Astyanax mexicanus: one gene and its partner. The protein of the gene in region 1 purifies or fractionates together with the protein of each later gene. This does not show direct contact. Links are inferred from orthologs where the notes say so. Each region holds a gene or a part of one and is shown on either strand. Other genes may lie near its edges. The genes, in order: naf1 and nop10.

Evidence for each region.
Region 2: the proteins of naf1 (region 1) and nop10 purify together in Homo sapiens (co-immunoprecipitation; 6 studies listed by BioGRID and IntAct, with this or other methods). This does not show direct contact. The link is inferred for Astyanax mexicanus from reciprocal best matches to the Homo sapiens genes NAF1 and NOP10.

Annotation. Positions count from the first base shown.
Region 1 is NC_064409.1:7,206,306-7,220,124, reverse strand, and holds the start of naf1 (H/ACA ribonucleoprotein complex non-core subunit NAF1), read right to left. Parts: upstream 6,336-13,819; 5' UTR 6,241-6,335; coding exon 6,202-6,240; intron 4,705-6,201; coding exon 4,316-4,704; intron 3,360-4,315; coding exon 3,194-3,359; intron 2,529-3,193; coding exon 2,435-2,528; intron 2,269-2,434; coding exon 2,186-2,268; intron 2,013-2,185; coding exon 1,852-2,012; intron 1,650-1,851; coding exon 1,598-1,649; intron 615-1,597; coding exon 518-614; intron 1-517. Other genes in the region: ttc41 (putative tetratricopeptide repeat protein 41), read right to left, coding at 8,088-8,490, 9,403-9,526, 9,790-9,926, 10,939-11,091, 12,223-12,373, 12,517-12,700, 13,350-13,477. UniProt on the Homo sapiens protein: RNA-binding protein required for the maturation of box H/ACA snoRNPs complex and ribosome biogenesis.
Region 2 is NC_064432.1:21,452,543-21,464,849, forward strand, and holds nop10 (H/ACA ribonucleoprotein complex subunit 3), read right to left. Parts: upstream 6,093-12,307; 5' UTR 5,923-6,092; coding exon 5,869-5,922; intron 4,660-5,868; coding exon 4,519-4,659; 3' UTR 4,131-4,518; downstream 1-4,130. Other genes in the region: uncharacterized protein LOC103045361, read left to right, coding at 8,549-10,185, 10,439-10,567, 11,461-11,585, 11,683-11,873, 11,957-12,307. UniProt on the Homo sapiens protein: Required for ribosome biogenesis and telomere maintenance. Part of the H/ACA small nucleolar ribonucleoprotein (H/ACA snoRNP) complex, which catalyzes pseudouridylation of rRNA.

The DNA of each region.
Region 1 (13,819 bases):
AAGAAGCTCATATCGATGGGTAGCATAACTCGACACAGCGTCTCTCCCGCTAACCATAATAATAAACACTGCTGGGAAAAGTTCAGCTGTGCGAACATGGAGAACAAAACTCAATTTTTTTTTTTTATTAAAACAATGGTTTTTTTTTTCCCCAGCATTTTATTTTTTTACTCAAAAATGGGGAGTTTTCCAAAGTAGCGAAGTAAAATACTTGTTTTAAAATGAACTTGAGTAAAAGTGAAATTACCTAATTTAAAAACTACTTAAATTACAAATTACTCATAAAATCTACTCAATTACAGTAATGTGAGTAAATCTAATTAGTTACTTTCCACCTCTGCCAGTATCATTTATTTTATTTTAGTCCTGGATATATGGAGATATTTGAAATGTCTTTTTTATTCAGTTTTTTGTCATATCACTCATAAAAATACCATGAAATATCGTGATATTATTTTAGGGCTATAAATCGCCCATCCCTACGAGGCACAGAGCAGTGTTTGGTGCTGTGACTGACCGGAGTCCGACTCTTCTCGGCCTTGCCTCTGTCTCCTCTGCTGCTTCAGCTTCTGCTTGGCCACTTTCTCCTCTTCATCATCACTGAAGTCCAGAGCCTGCAAACCAACACAGACCAACACACCACCATTAACACAATAAACCCAAATCAGCAATCTCCACAGGAAACACACGCCCTATTAACTCATTCACACACTACTCAGCAGGGAAGCAAACTTCAGTCCCAATCTCCACTGATTGGGGTTCATAGCTGTCTGGTACAAATTATCTAGTCATTGGTTGCAATTACATTAGGTCAAAGCTGCAATCACAATATAATTATAGTCAATCTACAAACAGCATTATTGATGGTATAGGCAGATTGCAAGCCTAAAATTGCTACTAAAGAACAAAAATGGTACTTCCAAGATCAGTTGAAAACTTAGGCTACGCTCACATTAAAAACCACATTGCTCAAATCCGATTTTTTCCTCAGATCGGCTTTGGCTACCTTGACGGTATACATTCACATATGTAAGTGACCTGTATCTGTGTGTAATCTGTGTGTTCACTAACAACAAAATAAATCTCATATTCGAGAGAAAACTTGTAGCTTTATAAAGGGAAATTGATTTGTTTGTTAGCAGCTGATATGTGGAGCATCTTGTGCTGGAGTGGAGAGTAAACAGCTGCTCTGAAGTTCATGCTCAGGTTGAGGAGGTGAAAAAAGGCCAGGTGGTTTGCTTTTGCTGTTTTTTTGCAGCTATATAGCTGCACAGCTGCACCAAGAGATGTGTGGGTACGAGAGAGAAGCACGTAGCACATGATTGTAAAAAAAAAAAAACGCATGAATTCAGTTTTGACCGTTCATAATTATGTCTCATGTCAATTGGATTGGATATGTATCCAATTTTGGACCACATATTAAAAGTGACTCAAAAATGATTTTTAAAAAAATCTAAGCAAAAAATCTGATTTAAGTCACTTCAGCCTGATAATGTGAACGTAGCCATAAATGCTGACAATGAGCAGCATCGTAAAACCTGATTGATAAATGTCAAAATATTTACAGAATGGCAGATCATTAAAGCAACACATTTACCTCTGGGGGAGGCTCCTGATCATTCTTCCAAGAAGCATCTGATCCTTTAAATCTACAGCAAGAAAAAAAACAGAATATTCATCAATAAGAGCAAAAACAGACTGCTGTTTGTGATCAAATGCTAAAGCTAACATAAGCAAAACACCAACATAAGGTATTTAAGTGGTAGTAGTTTATCCTTGAGTCTTTACATCCGAGTAAATATGACTGACTGAGAGCCATGTCCAAATATTCAGAAATGACGGATTACTCACTTGTTCAGCTGCTCAGTAAAGATGTAGTCTGTGAAATCTTTGATATTTGGAGCGAAGAAAATCGTCTCCCCTACTTTCAAGTTCTTCTGTTCAATGTCTTCGTGAGAGTTGAACCTTAAGATGTAGTAAGGCTGGAAAACTGGACCAAAGACCTCAAACACCTATAGAAACAAACAAAAAAAAGGACACAAGAGACACACTACTGACTACTCAGCTACAAAGACAGTAACTCAACACACGATTAAAGTCACAATGAATGTAGATCAGAAAGAGAGCAATTCTAATCCTAAAAACACTAAGAATATGAAATATCTGAAGCATGCTGAGGACTCACCTTCCCAATAGCTGTCCTGTCTTTGTTGAATAGGACACTGTCTTCATTCAGGGGTTGTGAGTCTTTCATTGATTCAACAATTACTACCAAGCAATACAAAAATCAAAACAACAGCAATATATTACTTTATATGACTGATATATTAAATTAATCATTTGTTATCTCTTCCTACACAATTACAAATAAAATTATACATTGATCCATTAAACAATGGTTTGATTGGTACTTTGAATGCCACAGTAAGAATACCTAGTTGATCTATGATGCTTGAAACAGTTCCAATGGGCTCAATCTGTGTGTCCTCAGGAAGGCTGATGTTCAGATTTTCCACTGCAGGGAGATCCTACACACAAACAGGACGGACATCAGTAAGAGTTTAACAAGACCAATTGTCCTACCCAGTCAGCTACAAGTCAGCTGTATATCCCCGAGTAGCTTCACAGCATGCTCGGAGGAAAGCGCAGCAACACATCAGCTCACAGACGACTCGTGCTGATCGCCATCACCCTAGGAGTGATGAGAGAAAAAAGCGCCATCTACCCAACCGGAGAGAGAAAGGTGCAAGCTGCATGACTGGGATTCAAATCGGCAATCTCCTGATCATAGTGGCAGCACTTTAGACCCTCTTAGTTAGAGTTAACTAATAACACCATAGTCCATATGTCTACATAGAGTTTAGCAACACACATTGTACAGCTGTTAGAATTAAAATTAAAGTAGAATTAAAACTGAAACTGAATATTATTAGTATTTGTTTATTACCCCAGTGTCTATTTCTCTATTTTATATATTTATGTATGTCTCCGCTGCAATTGAAGTGTCAGAGATAGATAATTTATTGATACTTTATTGATGCCAGAGAGAAATTACAAAAAAGATCAGATAACATGATACAGATTATAATAAAATAAAAATAAAGTATAAAAGTAGAGCCTTTTAATGTATGTGTGTGTGTGTGTAGTGTGTGAGGTAGTGCAGTTAACCACAGTAAAACAACAATGACCTCACCTCAATCAGCAGCTCATCCTGTGTCTTGACTGGTGGTGGCCTCTTCCCAGGAGCAAGATTATTTTCTTGGTCATCGTCTTGATCAATCTCATTCAACACTGAGCAAATGACTCCAGATGAGGAAGAGGAAGATGAGGAGGATGAAGATGAAGAAGAGTCTGAGTCACTGAAAAGGAAAAAAGTCTCTCACAAAAATCGATAGAACATGAAACAGCAGATTTGTCTGTATACTCAAAATATGGCTGATATATATATATATATATATATAAAAGTTTAGGTGCCATTTTTTTTCCATAAAACTAATGATTCTATATACACTGCCCAGCCCCAAAAAAGTCTCCACCTGGATTTAAGTAAGTAAATTATGTGGGGTTGGTTGGTTGATGCTGAAGTTGGTCTGCAGGTTTAGGTTCAGCAACAGTATGTGCTGAAAGAATGAGGTCAGCTGACTACCTGAATATAGACCAGGTTATTCCATCAATGGATTTTTTTCCCCCTGATGAACACGGCCATATTCCAAGATGATAAAAAATGTCAGGATTCATGGTGCTGGAATTGTGAAAGAGTTCAGGGTTCAGGGAGCATGAGATCATCGTTTTTACACATGGATTGAGAGAGTTCACCACAGAGTCCAGATCTTAACCTCATTGAGAATCTTTGGGATGTGCTGGATGGAGAAGAGCTGCTTTGTGCAGTGGTCAGACTCTACCATCATCAATGCTGCTGCAAGATCTTGGTGAAAAATTAATCCAGCAACACTGGATTTAAAAAAATCTTATGACATTGCAGAAGCTTATTAAAACAATGCCGCAGTGAATGTGTGCTGCAATCAAAGCTAAAGGTGGGACCTTTTTTTTTTGGTGGCGATTTTTTGGCCAGGCAGTAATGAAGCAAGAGATAAAAATAAATAATTTTAAAAACAGAATGTGTAAATAACTATGTCAGGTTACAAAGTTCATACACAGTTAAAACCTCTTGAAGATTGTTCTTTATAAACCATTAAAAAACACTGTATACAGGATCTACTAGTGTGAATTAGTGAGTCCGTGCAGTTTTTATAAGTACAGTAAGTACAGTAAGCTCGTTATGATGTATAATTTAAGTGTTTTGTGTGTTTTATACCTGTCTGAGAGATCTTCAGAGCTGTCATCTCTGTACTGCTGGCTTAACAAAGTCAAAGATCCTCCACCGCTGATGGGACTCACTGTGGCTTCACCCACAGCCTCGTTACAAGAGCCAGAACATGGTTCTTCTTTCAGGTCAGATACTATTATGTCCATGGGTTCATTTTTCTGTGAGTCAGCCTCTGCTGTAGCTGCATCAGGTACAGCATCAGGGTTCTTTAGTGAGCATTGTTCTGTAGCACTGTCAGTTTCTGGCTTCTTATGTTCATGTAGATTGTGATCCACAGGTACAAATTTAGGGCTTTGTTTTTCTGTAGCACAGCTACTGTCTTCTCCCGCTGATGGATTAACATGTACAGGTGCATCCACCGGCATATCTGCTTGTGGCTGAAAAATAGTGAATAACACATACAGGAAAGATGTTAGGATGTTAAAAAATATATTTATATATTTACAAGCAAAAAAAAAAAGAGTGGTTAATTCACTAAATCAGAAATGGGGCAACTCTAGTCCTGTAGGGATGAAGACCTACTTAATCCAGCACACCCGATTTAACTGTTAACTACCAGCTTTAATCAGTAGAGATTTATTTTGTGTTGACATTAGGGGTGGGCAATATGGCCCTAAAATAATATTACAATATTCCAGGGTATTTTTCGATAATGATATTCTAGATATATATTTAATTTTTTAGTGTTATTGCTTACAATATAAAATGGCACACCCCAAATTGAGATTTTCACTAGATTGTAACAGAAGACAACGATCAAACACTAATAGTTGAAAACCGCTGGAATATAATCAAGAAGAAGATGGATGATCACAAGCCATCAAACCAAACTGAACTGCCTGAATTTTTGCACCAGGAGTAAAGGCATAAAGTTATCCAAAAGCAGTGTGTAAGACTGGTGGAGGAGAACATGATGCCAAGATCTTGGCTGTGATTAAAAACCAGGGTTATTGCACCAAATATTGATTTCTGAACTCTTAAAACTTTATGAACATGAACTTCCTTTTTCTGCAAATAAATTCTTTAAATAATGTTTTTTTTTTATTTGGGAGAAATGTTGTCTGTAGTTTATAGAATAAAACAACAATGTTCATTGTAGTCAAACATAAACCTATAAATAACAAAATCAGAGAATCTTATTCAGAAACTGAAGTGGTCTCCTAATTTATTCCAGAACTGTTTATCCAGCAATTAAGTAAATAAATGATACAGGACAGATATAATATGTCTGGAGTAGATTTTCTTTAATAGGACAGACAGCATAAAGGTGTAACACAGCAAACAACAATACACTCTAGCTGGTGTGTTAAAAACAAGCAACATACTAAACTATGCAGGGCATGAGGTCTTCACTTCCAGGATCAGAGCTGAGAATCTATATGCCCCATGGCACTAATCTCACACAGAGATCTAGGTTCCTGCAGACTTCACCTCCAACCCTAATCCAGTCTACCTGATCCACCTAATTCCTCCCTCCACAAGTCCTGGCTGCGTCCCAAACCACATACAAGCTACTAAATTACTGTAATGAATGTAGCTACTTGTATCTAGAGTTTACCACGTTTGTCAATTTGCCAATTAGCTAGTAGTACAGCTGTAAGCACAACACTTTACAACTGGACTGGGTGGGTGGTGTTCTCTGAACTTAGATAGTAGCTGTTTGTGTTTTTTATTCAGTTTTCTAATCTATATAAAAATCAAACCAGCCTAATTGAAGTAAGCGATGGTAATTGTAAAAACGAAACAGACTCAGTAGCAGTTCACACTGTAGTAGATTAGTAACAGTAGTTCTGATAAGCTAAACTCTACAGGTTTAAACACTGAACACATTACTGAAGTCTAACTTTCAGAGAAAACTGATTTAGATCCGGTACCTGTGTGTCTGTGAGATCCTCCCCGGTTAAACTCTCCATACTGTCTTATTTTCGGGCTGTTGACTGAAGCTGGATTCAGAAACACTCAGGCATGCTAGTCACACATGTGGCACAAACACGCTTTCAAGCGCGCAGCTTCCGGAGACAATATTTATTTCAAAATAAAAGTCACCATATTCTCTTCAGTCGTTTCCTTAAAACAAGGTAACTTTATATTTAAACTCACGATATGATGTTAAAATATATTATTTAAAATAATAAGAGATGGGTGTCGGTGTTCGTGGTGGACATATATTATTATAATTATTATATTGTGATAATTATTAATATATTATTTAAAATATTTTCACGTCTTTTACACCTAAATAGAACATCATCAGTTAAAAACCTGCGAAAGCATTCGCAGATTACTAGAACGCTTTTTTTGTTCTGTCTGCAGTGAGTGAATAAAAAATATTAATATACTCGGGTATTTTAGCTCATTTATCATTTTATGCATTTTATGTCTAGGTTTTTTTTTTATGCATTTATGTTATAAAATAAAGTTTTTGTTCAACTGAATTCCATTGCTTGTGTTTTTGTACCCTATAGGTGTCAAAAGTGTCCATTACCGATTTGAGAGGCAGCAGATAGAGGTGGATCATAAAATACCATAAAATAAAAAATCCCCAAAATATACCCAGCTCCAGCCCAGTTCGCACCTACAGAGAGAAATAGCTTCCTTTTATTAATTAAATTAATTACATTTTATTAAATTAAATGGATTGGCCAATCTGTCATAACATTTTTGAAATGTAGTATTTTTTCTGCAAAGAGCAGGGGTTTAAAAATCTAAATTTACACAATTAAATTTGGCCATATATGTATAAAAACTGTATAACCCAGCAACACTAGTTTATTGCAGATATTACAGTCAAACCTCTAAAATCCACTGATTTTGTCTATTCGCATAGTGTAAAACATGCTGTCAGTGACTGAAATAAATATATATTTATTTTTATTGCTACTTTTATGAAATATTTATGGTTCCTGACCGGCAAACTCCTGTCGGATGATCTTAAAAGTATTCAATGATGTCTCTTCTTCAGTCTCTCACTTCTCCATCACGCACCTACAGTGCATGCAGAATCTATCAGAGTACTTTAAGGCAGTGTAAAATAGTCCAGCGCCCTCTAGAGCTCAGAACCAGCATCAGCAGTAACTACACAATAATCCGCCCAGCAGAGGGCGCTGCGCCTCTTTTACCAATACAAAACAGTTTATTTTACAACAATAACCAATTCTGCATCTAAATATTAAAATTTATGCAATAAACAGGTTATTAAATTGTATTTTTTTATATATTTTGCATTCAAATACAGCACCAGTTAAAAGTTTGGACACACTACTTCTTATTCAATGTTTTCTTTATTTCATTAATTTAAGTCATTTATTTCTCTATTGTAGATTCAAATATTAAAGACATGAAAGTAATTTAGGGACACATAAGGAATTATGGACTAAACAAAAAAGGTGTTCAGCCTCCACAATCCCCTGATCTAAACCCAAGATGATGAAAAAAATACTTTAGGTGACTTTACTCTACCTCATGAAGCCAATGAGTGTGCAAATCTCGTTACATTTACAATTTTAAAAAATCATAAAAAGAAAGAAAACACATTAAATGTGTATCTAGTACTGTATGCAGTATATATATATAAATATTTTTTGTTTAGAGTCTGTAAAAAATGTAATAGGTCATTATAAATCATAAAATAAATGCTAAATATTTGGTCTAAACTATATACAAAATTGCCCGAAATTTGTCAAACTGCACACCAATCAGTTAATTGCATCATTGAATCAGATTTTAAATCATGTGAATAAACAAGAAATGCAATGCAGTCCTAACGTGCTGATTTCCTGTAAACATACATTCCCATTTGTCTATTCAGTGCCTTCACTGCTTCCTCCTGGACACGGCAGCGGTCAGGCCTCTTATCAGACCCCTCCTTAGATGAGATTTTCCTGGACCCACACACCTCTTCTCTGGGTACCAGAGTCCTGATATCACTCTGAGGCCCGAACACACTGGTCTGAAATGTTGTCCAGGGCCGGGTGAGGGTTTTCTCTATGTTCTGCTTTGGCTCCAGAGGTGCTGTGGCAGGTCCAGGTTGTGTAGAGGTCAGTCTAGACTGATGAAGCAGGGGGGATTTAGTGAGGAGTCTACTGGTTAAACAAGCTCTTGATCTGGAAGCTGCTGGGGTGTCCAGTCGCTTCTTAACTACTGAAATATCTGTGTTAAAGACACTGAGAAAAAGACAAGAAATGAAAAATTAATATTTCTTACTTTTAATTTAAGTTATGGAACATTAAAACTCTAAAAGTTCACCAAACATGGCTCCGCTGATAAGCTACATTTGTTGGTAATAGATGAATTATGTAAATTAGATACATTTAGGTCCAAAAATAATTGGACAGTGACTCAATTATTATGATTTGAGCTGAGATGCAACTAAAGTGTAGACTTTCTGGTCTAATTCGAGGGGCTGAATAATAATATTCTATAAAGCATTAGAAATTTACAACCATTTTTATCCAAAGCCTCCTCATTTCAGGGGCTCAAAAGTAATTGGACACATGCATTTCACTCACTTAAGACAAAATAAAAGGTAGAAAGACCCACTGACCAAGAACAACTGAAGACAGCTGCAGTAAAGGCTTAACAAAGTATCATAAGGGAGGAAAACCCAGTGTTTGGTGAACATATCCATGAGTTCCAGACTTCTGGCAGTCATTGCCTGCAAATGATTCTAAATAGAGTATTAAAAATGAACGAAAATTTGATTTATGGTAAAATCATCATTTGTCCAATCCAGTGTGGTGCAATGCAGAGTCCAAATCATGAAGTTTGGGGATAGAAAGAGAAGACAAATATATATTTCACCTTGCAATATGGAACATTTCTGAATATGACAGCCCCACATATTTTTCAGTCAAAGTTGAAGACAGTAAACAAGAATAAAAACTTTTCTTTGGCAACTTAAAATAAAAAAATTTCTTTGGCAACTTAATTTCATTTCTTAATATACATTCATTCCTATATTTCAGACCTACAAAAGCTTTTACCATGTTATAATGGTTCTATTACATCTAGCAACAAGTTCAGTACTTACAACAGCATATAGTACAATCAATATAATACATAATGAATGGGTTTACTGTTGCCTGTGTCTGGAGAGTGGGTGGCCAGCGTTGAGAAGGTGAGTCAGGTCAGTAGCTCTCTGCAGTAAACTCAGAGCTTCTCTCCTTTCAGCCGCACAGGAGCTCTGCATTAACACTTTACCTGGAGAAAGAACAAGGTCAGTGAACCACTGGAGGCAACATAAGTCTGCAAAACTGTATTCTTTGTTTTTTCACATTGCATTGCATTGCCACAGCCAATCCCGGCCACTATTCCCATATATTATAATCAATCTCTCCGGGTAATAATAAAAAAATTAAATACTTAGAACAATATATGTTTTTTTAACAATATGCTGCATTGTATCCAGTTAAAATCACTTGGCTTTGTAGCATATAACCACACCAGCCCCTTTTTTCACTCACCGAGTTTAAGCAGAGTGTTGGTGAGGTCCTGCAGCATGGGCCTGGACAGGAAGGAGGTCATCCCCCAGCTCTTAATCACTCTTTCTCTGACATGGATGACATGACGAAACAATTCAGTGGCCTTCCTCTGAGTCCAGCTACAGGAAAACATGAAAAAAGATCATTTTACAACATTCTACATAGATATATATATATACAGCTCTGGAAAAATGGGATCACTTAAAAACGATTGTTTTTGTTCATTTTACCAAATAAAAAAAAACTCTGGAATATAATTAAGAGGAAGATGGATGATCAAAAGCCATCAAACCAAACTGAACTGCTTGAGTTTTTTCACCAGGAGTGCAGGCATAAAGTTATCCAAAAGCAGTGTGTAAGACTGGTGGAGGAGAACATGCCAATATGCATGAAAACTGTGATACAAAATCAGGGTTATTTCACCAAATATTGATTTCTGAACTCTTAAAACTTTATGAATATGAACTTGTTTTCTTTGCATTATTTGAGGTCTGAAAGCTCTGCATCGTTTTTGTTATTTCAGCCATTTCTCATTTTCTGCAGATAAATGCTCTAAATGACAATAATTTTATTTTGAATTTAGGAGAAATGTTGTTTGTAGTTTATAGAATAATGTTCCTTTTACTCAAACATAAACCTATAGACAGCAAAATCAGAGTCTCAGTTTTCCAACCAATTAAAACAGAGCACAATTACAAAACTACCTTTTTAACTCTTAAGGATGATGACAAACAGTCATATACAATGAAATCATAAAATAAAAATGAATAATAGATAAATAGAACAGAACAATATTAGAATGAAATGTATTAATATAATTATAAATAACAACATATAGGGTCCAATGCCTCTGTATGTAAGCCCATACTTCAACACTATCAAATTTACATTGCTATCATAATTAGCATCAGTTGTATAGGGCCCAAAATAGAACCCTGTGGAAATAAATATAAATATTTAAAACATTTTAATAAATATTTGAATTTTATAGTATTAATGAAATATTTTATATATCAGTGTTTTTCAGTCTGTGTCCAGATGAAGCTCCATGATCTAATCCCATTTTTTGTAAACTGTTAGCAGTGGGATAAGTAACACTGATGTATGCATATAATCTCCTGGATCTCTCACTCTTTGTCAGTGTGGTTGCTGTCAGACCAAATGTCGGCCAGCTGCTCCTCCACTGCTGCAACCAGGGGATGTTCAGTGCCATACCAGCGCCTCCTACTGGCCAAAACCGCCTCCACACAGCTCTCAGCTGCACTCAGCTCGCCAACAGCAAATCTGCACATAAAAAACATTTATACCTCATAAATTCCAAACATTTATCTATAATATGTTGATTTTTTTCTTCCAACATAAAATCTTTAAATGTTTGAAAGCACTATTTCTGTTTTGTACTAGGGGACCCTTTGTCAAATTAGATGTTGTTAGATTTAGATTAGATTATTGTCTTCAGACCACACGTTTTTTAAATTCAAAATAAGTGTCTCTATAGAGCGTTTACACTAAACAGATTTGGGATCCAATAATAAATTACTATTAAATTACTATAGTTATTATTATTTATCTATTCATTTTATTATTGTTATTATTCTTTATTTTGTGTATAATTGTATGACTATTGGGATTTAATTTCGTTTTTATTATTATTATTATTATTATTATTTTGTAGTTATCATCAGCCCTGCTTTTGCTTTATTATTATTTTTCCCCCTTTTTTCTTCCTTTTCTGGGTGTGTTTGGGTTATAATTTCTCTCTGTTATGTACAATTTTGTCTTTTGAACTTATTATGAAACAAAAATGTGACTAAATCAAATATAAAAACATTATTCAAAATAAGTGTTAGTTTGTTTAATTTTAACAAAAATGCAAACTTAAATGTGTCACGTTATATGTGTGTTTTCTAATTTAATATGTTAAATCCAGCAATAATTATTGGTTTCCAGGCATAGACCTTCTTTAACACTTTAACACGCTGTCCACATACTTTCATTTGGGTTAAGGTTAGGACTTTGGGTAGTTTTAAATAAAAGTAAAACTTTTTGTAAAAGCTTAAAGCTAGCCTGCTTTATTTTTTTTTCACAAACCCTCTGATGTGCCGGAACAGCCGGCAGCATCCATGTTTCAATGATGGGGTAGTCTAAAATTGTCTAGAGCAGTCTTCTTCATAAATTTTGTATCCACTTTGTGTCATGATGCGTCCACCACCATGCTTTACAGTTGGTACAGTGTTCCTGGGCTTGAGTATATAGCAGGCTTGTGCCTTTGGTAGTTGTTCCTGACCATATAATACTACCACTGTTCCTGAATTACAATGGGCTAACAATGACTTACTAATAATGTTACTGTCAGGAATTATTAAAATAAACAGTCTGCAGTTGATCTACGTATTGTTGCATATAATCACGTACTTGTATAGGCCTTGCAGTAAAGTAACAGTAGCTTCAGCACATGGGTGAATGCACTTGAGGCCAGTACTGCTGATTTCCTTTAAAAGTCCAGGAACTGTATACAAACAGCCTCTTTTCAGCTCTATCTGAGACAGAAAACACAGAAACTGCCCTGAAAAAGAACAAACATAAATACAGATGAGCACATCTACACACATATTACTGTAACATCCATAACACAATACACAAACACTATACAAACTGTATATCCACAGTTATGCTTTACTGCAGACTGACAGATCCTGCATCTGCTACCTTTTATCATCCTGATGTTCTCTGAATGAGAAGAACTGGAAACTGTAAGGATGTCTGCTGTTTTTAAGCCTTTACTGCTGTACAGCTCTGCCTCGTCCAGCTGCTGCATGTAGAAATAGAACTTAGCCAGCATGTTCTGCACTTCCAGCAGTGATCTCACGCTGTCTTCATCCAGCTCATCTGCCTGCAACATCAATAACAATATCAGAGGGGCTCCCAGTTGTCCAGCTAAGCATTGCCATCAGCTGCCAGAGCCCTGAGAGGTGGGTAGATGGCACTCTCTCCCTACAACACTCCAAAGGGTGATGTCGATCAGCACAAGGCATCTGTGAGCTAACGTATAAGAACCGCGTCGCTGCGCTTTCCCTTCATGCGCACTGTGATGCTACTTGGCAATGCTGCCTCAGCAGCAGTTCAAAAAGAGGTGGTGACTTTACATGTAGTGGAGGAGCCTTCACCTTACTTTACTATTGATAGGGGGAGTCCTAATGAGTGGGTTGGGTAATTGGCCAAGTAAATTGGGGAGAAAATGGGAACAAATCTCAAATTTAATCTAAAAATTATTTAAAAAAATACACAATATCAGAAAGATTTCTGAAATGTGTTGTGGGAGAAAACCTTTATAGTTACAGACAAAATGTGGCCTATGGTGCTCATTCAAATTTGAGGGTGACAAATTTAAAAACATAAAGCATAGAAATTCTAAGTATTAGTATTAGTAAAAACTAATGGTTGAAACACTATTCTTCCAAAACACAGTCTCACCTGTCTCACCTGTCTGTATATGTCCATGTACAATTTTAATATATTGCAAAACAAATAGAAAATCTCACCTGTTGAAGGACAGTTTCTGCTTCTGACAGTATTTTCCCAGCTTCTTCAGGCTTTCCCAAACCGAGCAGAAGGTCAAAGGAGAAAAGGGCTAACTTAACCCTACTGCCAAGATCTCGCTTACCACAACCTAAGATCAAATAGAAAACAATGTTCCATCAGTAGTATCTTCAGTAGATCAAATAATACCAACTTAAGTCATGATTTTGAATTAACTTAATCTTATTAATTTGGTTAGAAAATAAATAAATAATTAAATAAATAACTATTGAAAAGGGCCTACTCTTACAGTGGTGCCACAACAGTCCCTAGAGTGAAGCTTTTTGGACTAAAGACCATTTATATAAAGGTGTCCTATCACTAAAATCAACTTTTTCTTGTACTTTGTGAAATACAGTAGGTCTCTCTGAGTTGTATATAACGAGTCGATTTCTTTCTTTCTGGACCTGGACTACGCACCTCTGTGTGTAAG
Region 2 (12,307 bases), on another chromosome or scaffold:
GTGTTGGAGGATGTTCGAGATAGATATTGTCAATTTTTACCCTGTATCAAAATAAAAACGTATTTAAGACTTGTGTCCAAACCGAGGTAGAAATGCTCTCAGTAAAGTGCTCTATACATTCACAAGGTTGTCTTCTAATGGAAAAATAGAGGATATGTCAGAAAAATGGCTTTCGTTAAATGTCCAGAGACCAGGTCAAACAATCTAGTGCTATTGCCTTTGGCCTTTCTTCACCTCTCTGCAAGCTAGTCTAGACTAGATATGGGTTCACTTTGTCATCTGCCTTGAAAGTGCTTTTATTGTTACAGGAATGATAAGCAGGCTGACGTGACAAAACTGCATCTGTCGACGGAAAACATGGAGAGAGAGAAAGAGAGAGAGAGAAAAAATATAGTAAGCAAGGTCACATAACACATGCCAAGACGATACAATTTACAACTGTCCATTCATTAAATTAACTCAGAAAATTCTAGTCTACCGATACAATTTACAACTGTCCATTCATTAAATTAACTCAGAAAATTCTAGTCTACAGTCTAGAAATGACTCTAGAGTATAGTCTAGAGTAGACATTATATCAGTAATGGTGCAGTTGAATACAGTATCATATCAGAGCTGATACAGTAACTGAAATTTGTTGCATAAACACATTAGTATTGATGCTAATAGTATTGTATTGGTGCCGATATTAGCCCTTAATTACAGTATCGTAATGGTGCTGATACTAGCCCCAAATACAGTATCGTATCTGTGATGATACAGGCTCTAAAAACAGTATTGTATCGATGCTTATATTTACTTAAAATAGAGCATTGAATTAGTGCTGATACTAGCCCTTAATTACAGTATCATACCATGGCTGATACTAGTCTTTAATCACAGTATTGTATTGCTGCCGATGCTTGCTCTACATAGAGTTAGTTTAGCTAGGTTATCTAACTAGCCCCGCTAGCATCACACAGTTCAGCTAGCTCAGCTAGTTAACTAGCCTCGCTAGCTAGCTAGCTTAGCTAGCTAACTAGCCTCGCTAGCTTCATACAGTTCAGCTAGCTTAGCTAGCTAACTAGCCCAGCTTGCATCATAAAGCCCAGCTAGCTTAGATAACGAAATAGCCCAGCTAGCATCACACAGTTCAGATATTTTAACTAGTTAACTAGCCATGCTAACATCACACAATTCAGGATGCTTAGCTAGCCAACTAGCCCCTCTAGCATCACACAGTTCAGCTAGCTTAGCTAACGAACTAGCCCCGTTAGCATCACAGCTCAGCTAGCTTAGAAAGAAAACTAGCCCCGCTAACATCTCACAGTTCAACTAGCCGGCTAGAATCACAACTAGTCTAGCTAGCCAACTAGCCCCTCTAGCATCACACAGTTCAGCTAGCATGGCTAGCTAACTAGCCCCGCTAGCAACAAAAAGTTTAGTCAACTAACTAGCCCCACTAGCATCACACAGTTCAACTAGCTTAGCTAACTAGCCCCACTAGCAACACACAGTTTAGCTATCTAACTAGCCCCACTTGAATCACACAGTCCAGCTAGCTTAGCTAACTAACTAGCCCCGTTAGCATCACAGCTCAGCTAGCTTAGAAAGCAAACTAGCCCCGCTAGCATCGCACAGTTCAACTAGCCGGCTAGAATCACACAGTTTAACTAGTCAAGCTAGCTAACTAGCCCCACTAGCACCACACAGTAAAGCTGGCTTAGCTGGTTAACTAGCCCTGCTAGCATCACACGGTTCAGCATGTTTAGCTAGACAACTAGCCCCGCTAGCATCACACAGTTCAGCTAGCTTAGCCAACTAACTAGCCTCAGTAGCAACAAATAGTTCAGCTAGCTTAACTAGTTAGCTAACTAACTAGCCCTGCTAGCATCACACAGTTCAGTAAGTTTAGCCAACTTGATTCAATTCAATTTATATATTAGCGCTTTTCACAACAGAAGTGGTCACAAAACAGCTTTAGAGAAAAAACTAACTAGCCCCACTACCATCACACAGTTCAGCTAGCTTAGCTAACTAATTAGCCCTGCTGTCATATCACACAGTTAAGCTAAGTTAGCTTACTTAGCTAACTAACCCTGCTAGCATCACACAGTGCAGCTAGCTTAGCTAATTAATTAGCCCCGCTAGCATCACACATATCAATTAGCTTAGCTAACTAACTAGCCCCGCTAGCATCACACAGTTCAGTTAGCTTTGCTAACTAACCCCGCTAGCATCACAGCTCAGCTAACTTAGCTAACAGTTAGCTTAGCTAGCTAACTAGCCCCGCTAGCATCCATATTAAGCCAATTAGGATTTCTGGATCGGACCGGTCAGTCCAGCCCGGAGTCTGCGGACACAGCGCAGCGTTTACAGCACAATAATATTCGGCCGTGTCAGAGATGCGGCGCCGGTCAGATGAGAGTTTAGACCGGGATAAAGTGATAAAAATCTGGCTGATGTTTTAGCCAAAGCACTGCGCCAGGACTGCGGAGGAATACCCAGCACAACACACCAGCAGCCAGCTGTAGTGAATGGAGGCAGCAGGCAGCACTGTTTTCTCTCTGTTTCTGTTTCTCTGTTTACTGCTCGGGTTAGGATTTGTTAGATAAACTAGCTAATTCATTAAGGGCTTTTACCCTTTATCTAGCTCATAAAGCGCCTACCTATTTAGCATGCTGGCTAGTTAGCTATGTGTGTAATTAGTCAAATCTGACAGCTCCCAGGTCCCAGCAGCTCCTGCAGCTGCCAGGTAATAAACACAGCCCCATTATCCCCAACCATAAACACTCCCCGATTCTCCCCATCCAGCACATTTACCTGGAGTCACCTTGTCTCGCCTCAGTTCCGGGGAAAGCCGCGCCTGATCTGGATGAACTGAATTAAACTAAACCCATTCGTGCTTCAGTTACCGCCCGTCCTCCTCCTCCTGCACTGTCTAATAGAGTATTATACACAGGCTCGCTTGGCCACTTTCGCTTTCCGTACAAAAGGAACCGATGTGCAGCATGGGTAATGTAGTCTTATATATAGGTTTCTGAATCAGTTTCTTTGATTTTGTTATTTATAGGTAAATGTTTGAGTAAAATGAACATTGTTGTTTTATCGTTTATCCCAAATTCCAAACAGAAACATTGACATTTAGAGCATTTATTTGCAGAAAATGAGAAATACTGAAATAAAAAAGATGCAGAGCTTTCAAACCTCAAATAATGCAAATAAAACAAGTTCATATTAATAAAGTTTTAAGAGTTCAGAAATCAGTATTTGATGGATTAACCCTGTTTTGAAATCACAGTTATTCACACTTGTCATGTTCTCCTCCACCAGTCTTACACACTGCTTTTGGATAATGTTATGCCACTCCTAGAGCAAAAATTCAAGCAGTTCTACTTGGTTTTTATGGCTTGTGATCATCCATCTTTCTGTTGATTATATTCCAGAGGTGTTCAATTTGGTAAAATCAAAGAAACTCATAATTGTTAAGTGGTCTCTTATTTTTTTCCGGAGCTGTATATATATATATATATATATATATATATATATATATATATATATATATATATATATATATATATATATATATATATATTTAACCAGATATGTGTAACAGGAAAAATAGAATTTGCTTCACAACTGCACATAAGTACTAAAATACTGTATCTATATCTACTGGAGTATTATTTTTACTTCACTACTGTACTTTAATCCATATACATATAAAGTAAAAAATAAATAAATAAATAAATAAATAAATAAATAAATAAAAAAATAAAAAGTAATCTACCTTCTACCACTAAACAATGTTAAAATGTCACTGTTTCAAATTGGGTAAAATAACAAAAACATAATAAATTATAATGATAAGTAACATAATACATATCTGCTTGTTGACTTTCCAAAATACTTAAAGTAGCAGTCCTTAAGATTTTTCTTTAATGAAAATCACCATTATTCACAAGTGGGTAGATAACCTAATATACTATTCTATAATATGGGGTCATTTTTTGCATGTAGAATGTAGAATTTTAAAAGCGGCTCTGTAGTGGTCTGGTAGGTTTCTTCTATTTTTTTCTGGCCCCATCTTATCTTCCTGACAGCTGCACTACAACACTCTATGTTGGTAAAACAATAAACAGACCCAGCAGTAGGTTAGCAAATGAGTTTTATTGAATAAGGGGTTCATTTCCCCAAAGAAAAAAAACTCAGAGATTGAGAGTGGAGTTAAAAATGTGACAAATTAATTCATTTCAAAATTCCAGAAGCAAAGGGTAAACTGCAGAAAAACAGAGAGAAATGTTCTCCTGATTTAATAAAGTATCACATTTACTCAGATTAAAGAAAATGCTTCAATTAAACTGAGGAAAATTTTCATTTTAAAATGATGTCTCTAGACATTGTATAACAACATAATTATACAATTTTACTGGATAGAGTAAAACAAAATATTACGCAACCAACATCACACAAACGTGTGCATGTGCACACGCAAACACACACTTCATGTCCTTGATGTGTCCATTGTTTGGTGCTCTGTTACAGCACAGGTCGTGGCTGTTGGGTCAGCAGAAGTCCAAAGCGTTTCTTTATGGTCACTCTGTGCCGGGAGAACTTGTCATCAGGGGAGAATCGAGCTGGATGTGCAGAGCTGGTGGGCTGGCCTTCTGGATCCACTTTCTGAAATTGGAATATTAATAAAGAATAAATAAATAAATGTTGACTGCATGTATACTGTACTATTCACTACAGTATGTCCAACATACAATGTTCTAGTAGCACACAGAAACATAAATAGCAAATGTTTAATGACTTGCTGCATGTGTTTATTGTTCTGTCTTACACTCTATTTTGTCAGATTTCTTTTTCTTTTCTCTTATTTTTTTCTATTCTCACTGGCTCTACTCTTTTGCACAATACAGCAATTTCTTTTCCTCTGGGAACTTCTTAGAAAGTGTCAAATTTAGCCATCTTTCTCTTAATTAATTAACTTTTATTTGCACATACAGTTATTTTATGGAGTTATATCATTTATAGGGCCAAACAATAAGACAATACTTAAATCATGAGCATGCTTTTATAATACTCAACACTTTGCAAAGCACCATAATTAAAAGAGAAAACCAAGAGAATCTATATTTACTACATAAACATGAAGATAATTGATGGTGAGTGTGATTAAAAAGCTGCTCATCCAGGCAAAAACAGACTATATGCTGGTTAATCAGCTATCAATTAGCATAGTGTTCAATATGTTGAATTTGATTTGCTTTTACTGATGTTACAGAGGTGGGCCAATGTAGTGTCAGGAGTCTTGCCCCTGGCTCCACCAATTGATGTAGCACAGCATACGCACCCAGATTGGGAATTAAACCCCAGTCTCCCACATGTGCCATGCAGTGGTGTTATCCACTACACCACACCAGTCACACAAACAACAAACACACAAAGTGATGTTTAACAGCCAGTTAATCAGCTAGTTGGTCCGTTTTGGCCTGGATGCCTAGTTTCATATAAAAAAAACACATTAACCATAAATGAGTATTTAAGACCATCTACCAGCTTCTTACCAGCTAACTTACCAGCAAAACCCTGCTCTTGAACTGGCTTATTCGCAGGGTACAGTATTGTCTTCATGGTTATTTTGGTTAGCTTGGCCAAACTGATCAGTCTTGTTAACCAGATACAACCACCCAACTCATAATAACTAGTTACATGAGCTAACGTTACACTTTACTGGTGACGATATAAAAAGCTGGTCCACCACCCCAGACTAACTGAACCAGAATGTAAGATCTGAACAACTTCGTTTTTTTTTTACCCTACATCAGCTTTTGGTTAGTAAAGTTAAGTGAGTAACGTTAAAGCGGATCAGGATCCGGATCAGACCTTCAGGGTGTAGACCCGCTCTCCGTTCTCGTTCAGGTAGAATTGCAGAAACATGGTTACAGCGCGGTTCCTCTGGAGTTTAGATTAGATGATCTGAAGCCTTTAAACCGGATTAAAGAGCTGAAAATGAGATAAATCAGCGCTTTACGAAGAACAGTCCAGTATCTGCGTAAACCACGCGGTTCCTCTGCTCCTCAACACCACATCCGGTATAAGTCAGGAGCGAGGAGCATGATGGGAAATGGAGTTCTTAGTAACGACTCATCATCGCTGCAGAGCGACCGCCCCCTGCCGGTACAATAATGCCACACTTTATACTAAATTCATTTTTATATAATAATAATAATAATAATAATAATAATAATAATAATAATAATAATAATAAGGATAAAAATGAGGATTATTAGAAATATTCCTATATTATATGACATTGTATATTATTATATGATCTGTTTTGCCTCAGCTGTACTTTTTACTATGCATATTTTAGCGCACTTTTATTTCCCTAATTAATTCATTAATTGTTACAAAAGTATTATTATTATTATTATTATTATTATTATTATTATTATTATTATTATTATTGTCATTTATTTATTTATTTAAGGAGCTGTTTAACCTCAGCTGTACTTTTTATTATGTTTATTTAGTTGTGCACTTAAAATATAGCTGCACCAATTATTAATAATTATTATTGTTTAATTCGGACAAATTACTTGCTATAATAGATATCAGAGCATAAATATTAAATTGTTTACCTTAAAGGCATTTTTCCCCTTACTTTACTTTTACTGTTTTGAATTTTTTAGTAGTTTTGAAACCAGTACTTTTATACTTTTACTTGAGCAAAATGCTTCAGTAGTTAGTTGAGTAGTTAATAGTATATTATTTTTAGTAATATATCTATAATATTATATAATATGATATGATATTATCCTTATTATTATAGGATATGTTATGCACAATTTAGCCGTGCAATCTAGCTTTAAATATAGCTGCAGTTTGTGTTTCTTTAATGAGCGGAAAAACAAATGAAACTGTCCTTAACTATATTCAAAATGAATAAATTATATTGTTTTTACTTTATTATTATAATATATTTTTTACAGTATATATTTTTAAATAGTTAAGTCTTGCCAGTTTAATTCTAGCAAATTGTTGTTATTATTACTATTATTAAAATGAACATGGATAATCCTTATTCCAAGGAGATTTCCTGTGTTTATTATTATTATTATTATTATTATTATTATTATTATTATTATTATTATTATTATAGTAAATTAAATGTGGTTTATATTGGCTGAATAGAATGCTGTTTATTTTTAAATATAAAAACAAGCTGCACTGATAACTGATGAAGTGAGCGAACCGATCTTCAGTGATAGCTGGAGGCTCTGTTGACTTGCACTGCAGTGAAAGGTGAGTACAGTACAGTATATTCAGTGTTGTGCATGAACGAGTTCAAAAGAGCGCAGAGAGAGAGAGAGAGAGAGAGAGAGAGAGACCAACGACAGAGTGCGGGCGAGAGAGAGGGAGAGAGAGAGAGAGAGAAAGAAAGAGAGACCGAAGACGAGAGCGCGGAGCGCGAGGGCGAGAGAGAGAGAGAGAGAGAGACCGACGACGAGAGCGCGGAGCGCGAGGGCGAGAGAGAAAGAGAGATACAGAAAGAGATAGAGATAGAGAGAGAGAGAGAGAGAGAGAGAGAGAGAGAGAGAGAGAGAGAGCAATGACGGGAGTGAGAGAAAGCGCTGCAATAAAAAAAAATGGCTAGTGGAAGTGATGACTGGAGACAGACACCGATTCTCCTTATGAACATTTTCATCACCTGGTAAGAAACCCACAATTGCAGTGTCATGAGCAAATGTCTACAATAAGCAGTTTCAAAGAACTTAGAATATCTCAGAAAAAAAGTAAAATGAACTGAACTTTGAACTAGTTCAGAATTAAAATTGTGAACTTTGAACGTGAACTGTTCACTTTGAGCATGTATGAACTGAACTAGTTCAGAAAAGCTGTGAACTGGCACAACACTGAGTATAGTACAGCTGTATCAGGCCTAATAATAATAATACCTCCTCTACAGCTCACTGTTTATTACAGCAGTTTAGGAAACTGTACTATTGGCCTTCCATACAGAAAAGAAATACAGTCAGCTCCATAAATATTTGGTCAGGGAAACATTTTTCATGATTTGGGCTCTATGTGACACCACACTGGATTTAAAATGAAGCAAATGAGAAGAAGTTAAGTGTAGACTTTCATATTTAATTCAAGGGGTTGAACAAAAATATGTGATGAAGCGTTTGGTATTAAACCATATACAAAGATGAATGACCATGGCAGACAGTGTGGACTAGCATTAGGCTCTCAGGAATTCTGACCTCACTAACGTTATATCTGCTCTTGCTACTGAATGCAATCAAATCCTCACAACAAAGCTTAAAAATTTAATAGAAAGCTTTTTTGGACATTAGAGGCAGTCACTACGATGAAAGCATGATAAATACTTTTAAATACATTTAATTTCAGAAGAACAGTCGCAATACTAACCTCATTTTTTGTACTTTCTCTTAGTTTTCTCATGCAGATGTACCTTCACCTGTAGACCTCACTTGTGGATCAAGCCACCAGTTCCCCTCCTTCTCAAGAGCAAGGAGGAGAAAGGACAGAGAAAGCCATGACAACCCCAATCACTGAGGGCACTGGAAAAAACGCAGAAGATTGTGGAGTTGTTCAAGACCTGGCATCCCTTTTCCTGTCCACTGAGCCAGAAGATGGTGAAGGGACCCCAGGATGTTCTACACCATTTGAAACATCTGTTCTTTCAACTGAAGCTGAACTGGGACTTGAATCTGCAAGTTCACCTTGTCTTTTTTTAGAAGACTTCCTTGTAGATGAGGACATCTTTATGAGTCCAGAATGTGTCGCCCTTCCTGAAGATCATCCAAGACCTTTCATGGAACCACCAGTAAATCCTGCAGTATATGTACCTGATCCTGAGCCCATTTTGAGTTCAAAACTTACTAAGAACCAAACTGAGCTTGTTCCAACTCAAATGGAAGAGCAAGAAACTAAGCTTGCAATCTTGGAACTGCTTCGTCTGATGGCAGAAGATCCTGTTCAGTCTCATCTGGAGTCTGAACCACTTGATTGGTTGCAGAAAAACCATCAAGAGCCTGGTACTGAAGAACTTCATTCCTCCCATAACTCTCCGCCTTCCTCTATCGAAGCCATGGACTATGGTGCTGTTCCAGACCTGGCATCCCTTTTGTTGTCCACTGACGAGCTCATAACAATGAACACACTGCAGCCAGATGATGGCAAAGGGACCTTAGGAGATCCTACACCATTTGAAACATCAGTGCTTTCAACTGAAGCTAAACTGGAACTTGGATCTGCAAGTGCACCTTGTAATTTTTTAGATTACATCTTTATGAGCCCAGAATGTGTCGCCCTTCCCGAAGATCATCCAAAACCTTTCATGGAGCCACCAGTAAATCCTGCAGTGTATGTACCTGATCCTGAGCCCATTTTTGGTTCAAAACATACTAAGAACCAAACTGAGCTTGTTCCAACTCAAATGGAAGAGCAAGAAACTAAGCTTGCAATCTTGGAACTGCTTTGTCAGAAAAACAATCAAGGGCATGGTAGTGAAAAACTTCATTCTTCCCATAATTTTCCACCTTCCTCTTTCGAAGCCATGGAGAATGCATTCATATGGCCTCCTCCAGAGGCAAGATTCATATCTCAGTCTCCTCCAGAACCACAACCTTTTCAAGACGTCCCTGGACCATCACTGCCTCTAAACCTGCCTTCCACCTCCAACTATGTCTCAACTGAACCATGTGGTAATGCCTATCAATTACCCAGACTCCAGCATGTCCATCCTTCTTATCTTCCAGTAGTCCCATGTCTCACGGTTAACGGGATGCAATCAAATCATCAATTACCACCTGACTTCTTCCAGCCAAGCCTTCAGTTGCCCAATGGAATCTGGCTCCCACATAGTTCATATATGAAGATCAACCAGTCAAACTTCACAGTTGGCCCTCAAGTGCCTCAGATGTATAGCACTACATCATCAGTATCAGCTGCTCCTTCATTCAGTGAGGTCCCGCTCCTTCCTTGCCAAGACTTCCAATGTAACACCAGCCATGAACATGAACAGCCCCTTGTGGTACAATCGTGTTGCGAGGGGTATAATCCTTCAAAGGAACTGTATAAAAACTACAGGCGCTGGCAGATGTTCTGCAAGGTAGCATCTTTTGTCTACACCAGCAGTCCAGATGTGGAGGCCTTGGCTTGCTTCTTCATGTGAGTATTAAGCTGAAATGCATCACCATCAGCAGCACAATTTGCCATGCTCTCTCTGGGACTCTTCGAGTGCTTTGTCTTCCTAGGGTCAAGTGATAAATGGAATGTTAGTGAGTTGGTGGGTTAATTGGCTCTGCTTAATTGGGTAAAATGAAATAAATACATACAATAGCATATTGCTAAGCTAAAACTCTACCAAACTACTTTAAAATCACATCATATCTGTGAAACATCTTTCTTTGTATTTATTTAGACAAGTAATAAACTCCATCACTCTTCAATGCCCCGGTGTCCCTCGTTTTGAAGCAGTGAAGATCGCTGTGTCACAGTGGGAGAAGCTGTCCGACTTTGAACGAATGGAGTACTACCACGAGGCTCAGAGGTCAGTATGATTGTTACCAGCATCTAATAAACACCAGATTGCATTTCAGAACACTACTATACATGTCAGCAATTGTTGTCTTAGTGTGGGAATTGTAAAGTTGCAGGGTGATTTCAGAATCGGCTTGAACCTTGCAATTCCCTGGCCTTACAGACCCTGCATCCATTACAATGGACATCATGTATTTTCATTTTTATAAAATATTTTATAGCACATTACACTATTTAAGGGCTGTTGTCCTGTAGTCAGAATAGACCATGAACCAGCCAATTAAGTGTATAAACCAATAAAACAGTAGAGCTTGGTCTCATCCACTGCAAAAACAGTAGTACTAGTAGTAACCATTGAGACTAGGGAACAGCTAATTTCTACTAATTTAGTGTGATTTAGAACACTTCTTAATATTTTTTTTTTACTGTTTAGAGATGGTTTATAAAATGGGAAACGATGATGCATCGATGAAACTGGGAAAAGTTTGCACACCTATGAAGTCGGAATGACTATGAAGATTGCATGACATGGAACATCGGCACAGTTATCTGGAGTCTGGGAATCTTATGTATCTTATGAGGCTGGGAAACAATGGCGGTTTTATATGATAAGGGAATGATGGCACACCTAAAAGACCAGAAAATGCTTGTGCAATTATAAGGCTGGGGCAGTGTTTTGTAATGAACTAATTAGTGGAATCGAGTCCTTCAGAAGCAGGAAAAGGTCTAAATATGCAGGGCAGGTGAGTACCAGGGCCAGAATTGAGAAACACTGGGCTTGGGAATGAAGGAGCATTCATCAGGCCAGGGAAAATTGGCTTTAGATTATGAGATTTGTGATTGCATGTTTTGGGGATAAGGGAAAGCAGAAAAATGCCTACAGACATGCATGTGTTCCACCAGGTTCATGGACTATGAACTGAAGGAAATGGTAAGCTTATGGACAATAGAAGCAGCAAGCAGTCAAGACACTGAGCAACAACAGCAAACTCCAACTGTGAGAGACGAACCACCAGCCATGGGCCAAGGTCTGCATTTAGCCTTGTATCTCCTTATATTAAGAGTGGAATATCTATTTAATTAAGCTTAAAAAAAGCATTTTTTTTCTTCTTTCTGTCTTTGAAGCTGCTGATCAGAAGAAAGGCTCTAACTCAGCACCACCTGACGTAGTTAAAGCGGCACCAGACGAGTACAGCGAGGTCATGGAAGCTCCAGAGACAAATGACAAAGAAGAGTCTGATGACAATCAAGACAAGAAATTCATGCAGTATGATGACAAGGAGCAAGATGGGTTTTGCAGTCACGTTGTCAGTGAGGTAATGAGTTTCTCGAGTTGTTGGCATGTACTTATATATTTTTTGAAAATGCATTAAACATTTCTGATCGAATCTTATTGTAGGACGACTCAGAAGTAGCACCAGAAGTATGCCACTTACATCCTCAATCCCCAGATGAATCCATTTATGCTACAGCACCAGAACCAAAACAACACCCTGAACCACAGCCTCAAACTCTCCAATCTGGCTACTACATAGACAATAGTATACTTCCACCACCTACGACCTTCAGTGAAAAACCTGCTTTGCTAAATCAATCGAGTGATCCTGGAATGCCCTTACCTGACAAAGATGTCCCGGTTCCTGCCTCAAGCACTGGGTTACAGCTTTTACCTTTTCAAAATGTGAACACCCAGGTTAAATTTGAAATGTTTCCTCCACTGCCTGAACCTTTATCTTACTTCCAGATGAGT